3 linked regions of the Caenorhabditis elegans genome follow. The protein of the gene in region 2 purifies or fractionates together with the protein of the main gene of each other region. This does not show direct contact. Each region holds a gene or a part of one and is shown on either strand. Other genes may lie near its edges.

The links.
Region 1: the proteins of glb-1 (region 2) and srlf-1 fractionate together in Caenorhabditis elegans (co-fractionation; one large-scale study listed by BioGRID). This does not show direct contact.
Region 3: the proteins of glb-1 (region 2) and aldo-2 fractionate together in Caenorhabditis elegans (co-fractionation; one large-scale study listed by BioGRID). This does not show direct contact.

The regions. Positions count from the first base shown.
Region 1 is NC_003280.10:7,788,899-7,791,875, reverse strand, and holds srlf-1 (SXP/RAL-2 family protein Ani s 5-like cation-binding domain-containing protein), read right to left. Parts: upstream 1,285-2,977; 5' UTR 1,245-1,284; coding exon 924-1,244; intron 765-923; coding exon 630-764; 3' UTR 501-629; downstream 1-500.
Region 2 is NC_003281.10:8,921,874-8,925,108, forward strand, and holds glb-1 (Globin-like protein), read right to left. Parts: upstream 1,418-3,235; 5' UTR 1,412-1,417; coding exon 1,218-1,411; intron 920-1,217; coding exon 634-919; 3' UTR 526-633; downstream 1-525. Other genes in the region: ZK637.12 (uncharacterized protein), read left to right, coding at 2,418-2,576, 2,661-2,858, 2,905-3,027, 3,073-3,174, 3,225-3,235. UniProt on the Caenorhabditis elegans protein: May be a globin and may play a role in oxygen transport.
Region 3 is NC_003281.10:5,874,427-5,878,267, forward strand, and holds aldo-2 (Fructose-bisphosphate aldolase 2), read right to left. Parts: upstream 2,045-3,841; 5' UTR 1,896-2,044; coding exon 1,854-1,895; intron 1,795-1,853; coding exon 1,713-1,794; intron 1,376-1,712; coding exon 624-1,375; intron 573-623; coding exon 348-572; 3' UTR 252-347; downstream 1-251. Other genes in the region: F01F1.3 (MIF4G domain-containing protein), read left to right, coding at 18-176; mig-21 (Abnormal cell migration protein 21), read right to left, coding at 2,594-2,907, 3,050-3,148, 3,205-3,323, 3,368-3,612, 3,662-3,826.

The sequences.
Region 1 (2,977 bases), on a different chromosome or scaffold from region 2:
AGTCTGGAACACAATTGGGAAACAAATTAAGTTTGATTGAAAAAAGAAGAGAAAAGGGTCATCACAAATCAGAGATTGTGAGACCTTGAACTTAAAGTGATAGTCTCTCGTACTTTTCTTCATATGGAGAATATCACGGAGTAGAGAAAATAATATGTTTTTGGAAGTAGAATCGATCATTTGAAAACTTTAAAACAATAGTTATGAAGCCGTGTTTTTTATCTCTAAAAGCTTTATTTTGTTCATACCATGAAATATTTTTATTTGACAGTGTCCAGTTTACTACGATTTAAAAATTTTCAGTTTCAATGTTCAAAAAACTGAACTTGAGCACTTTTTCTACACAATATCCTAAGTACTAGTATGCGCAAACAAACAGGTTTGTGTCAACTTTACCGCTCAGTCATTCATAAAAAGTGTACATCCAATCTAAACATAGATACACATGCCTATACTGAATATTCTAGTTTTTATATGTTTGCTAGTTTCAATTGAAATTTGAAGAGCATCACGATTTTTATTAGAATTAGAGCTCATTTGGGCAAAAAGGGAATCAATCGAATGAGAACGAGAGAATGAGTGAGGGTATTTACAAAAAAAAATTGAGAGGTTCTTTGGTTGATCAGCACTTATTGTCCTTGGGCCTTCTCGAGCTCAGCCTTGACGTTAGCTGGGAGGGAGTTGAGGTAGGCTTGGATCTTTTGTCCCTTGGCTTGAACAGAGAGGGAGCTGTCATTGGAGATGGCGGTAAGGTCAGCATCGGCCTGAAAGAAATTGAAAAGATTAAAATTGATACTTTGGTTTTATTCCGAAAACTAGTAGATGTAGTATTTGCAGTGCTAGTACAAATCCGACTAGTTTATCTGATTTTACTTTTACGTAATATATGGCTTAATCTAGTTGGTTTATCCACATTATCTTACTTTCTTGGCAGCTGGAGAGAAGTTGGAAACAGCGGCTTGATGAGCAGCCTCAGCTTGTCCCTGTTGTCCCTTGATGAATTTTTGGAAGTCAGCCCAGTCAGCAGCAACCTTTCCTCCTTGTTGGTTAACCCAGGCTTGGACCTTTCCGTCAAGAGCGGTCTCAGTCAAATGACCGTTGGCTTGAATGAGCTGTTGGAAGCTCTGAAGTTGAGCTGGAGTGGCATTACGAAGGAATGGTGGAACATCTTGACCTCCGGCTGGTTGTCCGTAGACAGACACAGCGGCGACGGCGAGAAGAGCAAAAACGGCAAGACGGCACATTTTAAGTGAATCAGAAAGAGTATTAGAAGACGACTGATGAGGGATGTCCAGCAGAAATAGTTTCTTTTATACAATCGACGCTCATAGTCATTTCTCTCTCCCTCTCTATCTCTATCTCTCTCTCTGTGCCGCCCTTTCGCTCCTCCCACACGTAGATCATAGATGAGACAGTATGGAGACATAGAGAGATACAGTGTGTTCGCTGAAGTTGACCAGTTTTCCGATGGAAAATCGCTGAATTTGAAACTTTTTCAACACAATAAAGAAGCCGTAGTGACGAATAAATTTAGAATATTGGAACAGAAGTTAAGAAAGACGTCATTGAGATAGAACGCGGACAGAGGTTCTCATGATTTTTTAAAATTCCGTTACAGATTCGATTTTCATTCTGTCTTCTTGTAACTGAACTGTTGTGTTGAAAGTCACATATCAAATATCTGGATTTCGTGAAAAATGAAAGGCTCGGAAATAGTAACTACTCTTGGAGTGTGATCAAATATTTCACTCTACAAAATACAAAAGTTAAAAAAAATATTTTTTAGTTGTCTCGATTCGAAATTAAAACTCCTTTCCCAACAAGTGAAATGACTTGCGAAAAAGTACTCTAGAACTATTGCATGGAAAATTTTCCCAACTTTTTCAAAACCTAGTGTTTTTCAGTCGATTTACCGGCCTTTTGCTTTTTTTAAATGATTTTATCATTATTCTTCATTTCCTTTTCCCTAACCATCATCAATATGAAACGTCTGACCTTTTGTCGGTATCTATCAATACGAAGATCTATCTTTACATCTTTCTCGTCTCATTTTAACACTTTCCTCAATGACATCATTCATCTTTTTAAGCTTATCATAGAAATGAAATAAGGTAAAATTTGAAACAAAAGGTGTTGTTTGTGTAGCCTTGAACTCATTTTTCTCTTTTCAGTATATTTTATTATCCGTTTTATGTGTATCATCTTCGAGGTTTTTCCATCTAAAATCGTAGTACCAATCCGTTTTCTTTCCTGTTTCTGCCTTCAGTCGATCCCATTTTATATCCTTCGATCACTTCCTGATATGGAAATAAAACTGTCGGTTCCTCCTTTTCTTGACTTCTTCATTTTGTCAAGCACCAACATTCTGTGGTTTCAATGACAACTTCTGATTTGTTCCAATGATCGAAACATATCTTTAAATGCTACAAGTCAGAATGGAAAGATGGTCAGAAGGTGTATCGAACAATTAAGTTTAAACTGAAAATGAATCGAATTTCTGACAACCAGCTTGATCTGTACAGCTCTAGACTTATGTATCTACCAAAACGTAATTCTAATTAGAACGTTTTGTTATGATCTATTTTTCTTGAGAATTTTCGTGAGTTAGACTACTATTCAAAACACAATTTCATTATTTATCCTTTAACATTGTATATGCCCTCGGAAACCTACACTTTCCTTCATTCAGATATTATCTCTAGTTTTATGACGTGGTCATCCATAAACATGTAAACGTCATTGTTTCTTTGTTCAGTTGATGTGCCAAATATGTACAAACGGACCATTTCTTTATAGGCGACATAAATCTTTTCGCTGACCTATCTAACAGAATATAACCTCAAACTACGTTTTCCCATATACCGACCGAAAACCAATGAAATTAAATCTGAGAGTTCGGGAATGTATACTTGATGAATGAATGCCGAAAATCAAAAAAAAAGAGAAAACAAACAGGGCTGATCGTTGAGAGTAGAAA
Region 2 (3,235 bases):
GATTTTTTTTCTGTATTTTTTTACATCACAAGAGTACCTTTATTAGTTTGTAAGTTCTGATTGTTTTATAGCATCCCAAAAATTTCGTTAATGTATTATTTAATGTGGAAAACTATAATCATTGCATTTTGTTCAGTCGAATCCAGTCGAATCAAATGATATGTATTCCAAGCTTGTTTGGTGCCGCAAACTTATTCCGTGCTTCATAATATTCACAACATTTACGGAAGCTTTAATGTAATTCAAGCAATTCAAGTGTACACAAAATGAGGAAAAAGTGTAAAACGCTAGTGTACGTGCCATGTTGTTGGTCTCTATTCACACGTGTTGGCAGGCAATTCGAAAACGAAAAGATCAAAACATCAGAAGTCAGTTCGAGAGATATTCGGTTCTTTGGTTCATGGTGAATTAAAAACAAGATAAATATTTTGATGGCATGCAATGTGACGGCTGCATCATGGAAATGGACAATAAATTGAAGTTCCAAAGTGTTGCCAAGTACGTATTAATTTTCTGTGAACTATGTCAAAATACTTTGTTTATTTTGTACAAAAACGTTTCCAAGAGAGATAATCATTATAATACTCAAAGCTCATTCAAATACAATATAAAGGCTCAAAACATTCAGATCTATTAAACATGTGGAAGATTGGAATTCTTGAGATGTGTCTGACTCTCAGCATTGAATTCCTTTCCAAGTGCCATCCATGCGGCCTTTTGTTGATCATTGAGACATCCAACAGATTCAAGATATCCAGTGAATACAGTGAAGAATGCCATCCACAGAGCTGGATCCATTTTGTAGATACGATGACGGTTGATGGTTTCACGGACGTATCCCTTGAAGACTTCTTCATTGGTGTAGACGTTGGCAAGGAGATGGCACGCAAGAAGAATACGTTGGCCTTGTTTGTCAAATCTGGAATTGGAATTATTTAGTTTTGTTTTGCTGATAATTTCCATTAGTCAGACACGCTACAATATAGCACCCCGTTGTTTAATTTTAACAGCTTTAAAAAAATTGTTACCTGGAAAAATGTTTTTTATTTCTTTTCCTATTGTTGTGCAGTTAATTATTTATTGGTATCTTCAAAATTGAACTAGTTATTACCTTCAAAAGCGAAGTAGTGGGGTGCATTACTATTAGAGGAAACACGTCAAATTTTGCTAACTAAAATCGAAACCAATATCAAAAAGTTTACAGTGTTAATACTAACCTCTCACTCTTCTTCACATCATCTGCAGTGTACTTCTCGGCTCCCTTGAAATAGACACGAAGATCCGGGAAGTTGGTGAAGAAATAACGGTAGAAGGCGTTTCCATTCTCAATGTTTTGAGCCTCAGTTCCAACCATTCGTCCTTCAAGGGACTTCACACAGAGATCACTAATTTCTTGACGGTTCATCGACATTTTTCTCTGAAAAATATTTAGTTAAATTGGGAGTTTGTAAAATCTTATATAAATCTTTAAAAAATAAAAATTAAAAAAGAATTAGAAATAACCATAGTAAAGTTAGAAAGAAAAGAGACTCTAGTGAATGTTTTCCATCTAGTCTCTCTTTCTCTTTCCAAAATGCCTCAAACCGCCGAAAAATAACGACTTTTGACCAGTCCGCACGGCTCCGCCCATTTCCCTTCCCGCCTCCAAATGATGACAAACATTATGATCTTTTGGATGCTCTGCGTTTCTGCATTTCCAATGTTATCTAACATTTTGGAACGGAAAGGAGTGAGGCGGGATTTTTGCGACTCTGAAGGTCAGTAAATTGGTAAACAACATCCAAATAACGGAGGTAATTTTCAAGTGGCAGACGAGGTGGAGAAAAGAGTAAATTAGGGTTGGGTAAAGATGGAAACTCAAAAATCAAAACATTTGGAAATTACTGAAAATTTAGTATTGAGTTTTAAAAATCATAAATTCTATCTAAACTACAAAAAATAAGTTATAGGAAAATGTATTAAGATTAAAACGGCAAAGCTTCATGCTCAACCCCTGAAACTTCAATCTGTAACTTTTTCAGTGCAGTTTTCACTACTCTCGAGACATGTACAATTGCTTTAAAATCTATATTTTGCAGACTTTTGATAATTTTGCGTTGTTTAAGAGAAGTTAAACCTTTGGAAACAATTTGGAAATTTTTGAAATCTAAACCTCAAAAGGTTCAATTCGGGTTTCCCTTATTCCTAATATTCGAACCATATTATCACTTTTTTGACATTTTACAACTGCACCATTCTCATTTCACATATGTTCTTACAATTAATTTTTAACGTTAACTTTCCAATGGAAAATTTATTGAACATTTAAACGTGTAGCCTAATTTGTTTGAAAAGTTGAATGAAAAAAATCAAAACAACAATTCAAAACCAGAAATCAATTATTCCTTAACTTTCAAAATTCGAAGCAAGCGAAAAGGATGGAATGCGTGAATTGCGATTGTACAGTCAAAACGATGGACAATTTGGATCAAGCGATTCGGGCACTGCTGCAACGTGGCAAACACGTGAATCGAATGATGGACAACGAGAAGCTGATTAGAGAGGCTCGACGCATGGAGGAGGTCCAGCAGTTGAAGGTATGAAAATTAAAAGAGGATAACCTCTAAAGCAATTAACAAATTTGAATTAAATGACGTGACAACTGACTGGGGAATTTTCAGATGCAAATCCCCAAGCCGGTTGACAAGAAGCCCCGTCCACCGCCTTCGGAAAATAACCTGAAGCTGATTTCGTGCGAGGAAACATGCATGGATGAGACACTGAAAAACTCGTCGAAGCCACGTATGATCTACAATAAGCAACTCGGACGCGCCGAATCGATTGATTTCGATGTTCCGTCCCTGTCTTACGAGAGTTCGGTGGGTGTCTGCTGCTACTTTTCCATGAAAACAAAGCATTTTCCAGGAAAAGTGCGCCGGTGAAACGAGTCCGTATACTTCGGCGTCGGTGTCGAATTCTAAAAAGGCGACGTCTTCCTCGAATTTCACAAAGTCGGAGACCACTACAATTACTGAGTTGACAACTTCTGTAAGCCGGAAAGCTATCCCAACTCAACAATAATTACTGTTTCAGACGTTCAAAAAATCTAATAATTCATCAGGTGGCGCTCTTGTTCTGGACAATCATTACTTGATTAATAATGACGATGGAACTGTGAAGAAATTGCCAATGAAGGTAGTATGCCTGAACACCATCTAATAATTCCTCTCATAAAAATGTTGCAGGTCTATGTGAA
Region 3 (3,841 bases), 3.0 Mb from region 2:
TGATTATTTGATTTTAGGTGTATGATCTTTGGGCATTTGGATGGAGTGAGCTGAATATTCCTGAATGTCTTCTCACTTTGAGTGCAGAAGGGAAGCTATCGATTGTTGATCAGACACCACTTCGGAAGAATGATATCAGCAAGCAAGAGTTCGGAAGCAAAGAGAGCATTGTTTGAATATATTGAAGTAGATCCTTAATATTCCCACTTTTGGTGATTTTTAGTTTTCGGGTTTCATAAAATATAAAATTTCGGTGAAATAAAACTTCATTTCGGGGTCAGTGAAATTATACAATCTTGGGGACGAGGTTGCGAAAAATCTATTCACAGGAAGTTATGCGTCATCGCTTAATAGGAATGCTTGGCAACGAAGAGAGACTCGGCGGCGGCTCCAGCTGCGTCTTCTCCGGCGTACTTTCCGAGAGATGCATCTCCATTGGCCTTGGAACGGTGAAGGAGTGTCTTCTGAGCGGCAGCGATGTTCTCGTCTTTTCCGCCCCATGCCTTGAGCACAGAAGCTTGAAGAGCACGTCCATAAGAGAAGGTGAGCTTCCATGGCTTTCCGAGTTGAACCTGTAAATAGAAATGAGTGATATAAGGTTATTCCATTTCGTTTAAATTTACCGAGTTAATAGCATTGAGGTTAGCAGTGGCATCAAGTTCGGATTGCCCTCCAGACAGGAAAGTGATTCCTGGAACTGCAGCTGGAACTCCGCGTCTCAAGGCGGTTACGGTAGCCAATCCAATTGCCTCGTGTGAAGCTTTCGACGCGCTCGATTGTCCTGGAGTAACCATGTTTGGCTTGAGAAGAGTTCCTTCGAGATACACGTGATGATCAGCAAGAGCCTTGTACACAAAGGCAAGAACTTGCTCAGTAACCTTCTGGGCACGAGCCAAATCATGTTCTCCGTCGCAGAGAACCTCTGGCTCGACAATTGGAACAAGTCCGTTGGCCTGGCAGATAGAAGCGTATCTGGCTAGCACATTGGCGTTCTCGAGCATTCCGAGGTGAGATGGGGTGTGAGTTCCGATGTTGAGAACACAACGCCATTTGGCGAATCCACATCCTCCCTTCTTGAAAGCAGCGGCACGTTCGGCAAGCTTGTCGAGCCCCTGGGTGGTTCCCTCTCCAATGGTTCCAGCCAATGGGACAACTCCGAGATCGAGCTTGATTCCTGGGACGATTCCTTGCTTGATGAGAAGATCGGTGAACTTCTCTCCCTTATCGGTGCTTTGATGGAATGTCTCCTCGTAGAGAATCACTCCGGAGATGTGCTGGTTGAGATTTGGAGTAGTGAACAGGAGTTGACGATACTTCTGACGATTTGTCTCGTTGTTTTCGAGGTTGATGGCATCAAGACGCTTTCCGATTGTGCCTGCAAATTGATCGGGTCACGATGTGCTGCATTATAAAAAAGAAGAAATCGGTCTTCCCCAATATCATTTCTACATGTTATCTTTCTTTCTATCTACAATTTTATCTATCACTCGCACTATCAATGCATCAACATCTCCAATTTCAACAACATAAACATCGAAAATTGGAGGCGATAGAGGGCACAGAATATGATCGCTAGACCGTGAAAATTTATTTTTTGAACTTCTGAACATAAGTCGCTAATTCTTATTGAATAGAAAAATTGTCAAAAGATGATTGTGAGAAGATAAGAATCTCGATTTTCTAGTTCTAGAAGAATTTTTCCAATAGCTCACCAGTGGATTCATCGGCGGCGAGGATTCCCTTTCCATCTTGAACAATTTTGAGAGCGATTTGGTGAAGCTCGTCTTTTTGAGCCTAGAAATACAACAATTAAACTAAGAAGGGCATTACAAAATGATGAATGATCAACAAACCTGGGTAAGAGAGTCCTTGAAAGCGCCTCCGACAGTTGCCATCGTGAAAAATAGAAGTGATGCGAAATGAAATGGACGGTCGAGAAAATGGGGAGGCGGAGAGTGTAGAGAATCAGTACAGTCGCCGAGAGTGTGCGCAAAAACGGGAGACGGCGAACGGGCGGCGCCAAATATTGTTGGCGCGCAGAGAACTGAAACGTGATATTCTTGTACTACTTTAGGATGATCGAAAAATTCCGAGATAGAAAGTTTTGAGGCCTATTTTTAAAGAGTATGTCAATTCGGCAAATTAATCTATAGATAAAGTAGATAAATCCCTTAAAAAAACTACACAAAAATTTTTTTTTAATTAATAAAATTGTGCACAATTTTTTAAAAACAATTTTTCACAATTGTGCAGGAATTATTTTCTTAAGTTTTCGGCTGTTTTCTTATAGAAAAAACCGAAAAATTTGGAAATGAAAAAATGAATCCTAAAATTGAATTTAAATGTGCGGTATTGTCGTTGTTAGTCGTTGGCTTGCGCTGCGAGACCCATTTGCGAAAGTACGCCTCTCTTTAAAAGTATAATTAATTCTGATGTTTTTTCTTTAGAATTTCAGTCTTAAAACTGAAGAGTTGAAGTGATAAGAATTAAAAACACCTCACTCAGAGTATTCGTTGTACAGATCAATGATAACTTTTATTATCGTGGCGTGAGAAATGGGCAGACAGAGACTGTTCTCGAAAGCATCCGAAATTCACCAAAAACTTTCATCTTTCGGGGAACCCGGAGAACGAATCAAATGAGAAGGATAGTCACGTGGATTTGAATCATACGAATAATTCAATCTTATGAATCTCCTTTTAAAACGATTCACAACACAATAAATAATATTTTGAAGAAGGAAACCCGTGAGAATACAAAAACAAAATATTGGAATTGCAAAATGCAAGGGAAGACATGATGACGTGAATCTTGATAAGAGATGGTGTTCGATGGAAATAGAAGAGTTGTGAAGAAGACGATAACGGTATGCAACTCCTGGATGCATATGCCATTCAGACCAGTTGGCTGGAAATTATTCTCATTAATTTTTTATCATGTTGTTAACTAACACAAAAATTTAGACAGTAAAGTGGACATTGTACTTTGAAACTTTCAAATTTAGTCTTCAAGTTATGGTTCTTCGAAATTTTTTAACTAAAATTAATACCATGCTTCATTGAGTCTTGAGTCTCCTTCCGTATTCCCACTTCAGTATTCGCCACGTTTGATGACGAACACCAGGCTGAAAACCGTACTTGCTCAATTCCTGAAATTAAATCATTACAAATTTGTTGATATATTTCAGCGTAATGAGACCCATACCATAATTCACCCAATCTGTCCATTCGGACCATTTTTTACTAATTGGACACTCATCTGGGCGGCAATCTTCGTAATCCTTGTCACATCCCTCGCAGGAATTACCTTTGCAGTGCCGAGTTCTGAAACTTGGGTTACTGTACATTTCCCAATTGTTTGAACCTACCGTATCCTCAGGCTACGATCACAATCGCATCGAGACCATGGATTCCAGGATGTCCAGGATCCAAAAAGATACTCCGGTACATTTGAAGAAATTGCACAAGATTGCTTCTCAACTTTCTGGCCAGAACAAGTGGTACCAATTGGTAAAGGATTATTACACGTTCGTCTTCTTTTTCGGATACCTTCTCTACATTTCGACCATTTTGACCACGTTGACCAACCTCCTGGACGGATGCAATTCCAAATCTGCATCAAAATTTTATTGAATTGGTTTTTATCTTTTTGAATGTAGAACCTTAATTTCTCCGCCTTGTTTCGAACATTCACAGAATATACCATTATTAGATGCACACTTATTAGAGACAACTTGAGAATATAAAATGCTAGAATCATTTAAATTAGCCAACGAATATGAGAAATTGACGAAAACGAAGATATTAAACAAAACCATGACAATCATTTTCTATGAAACTCA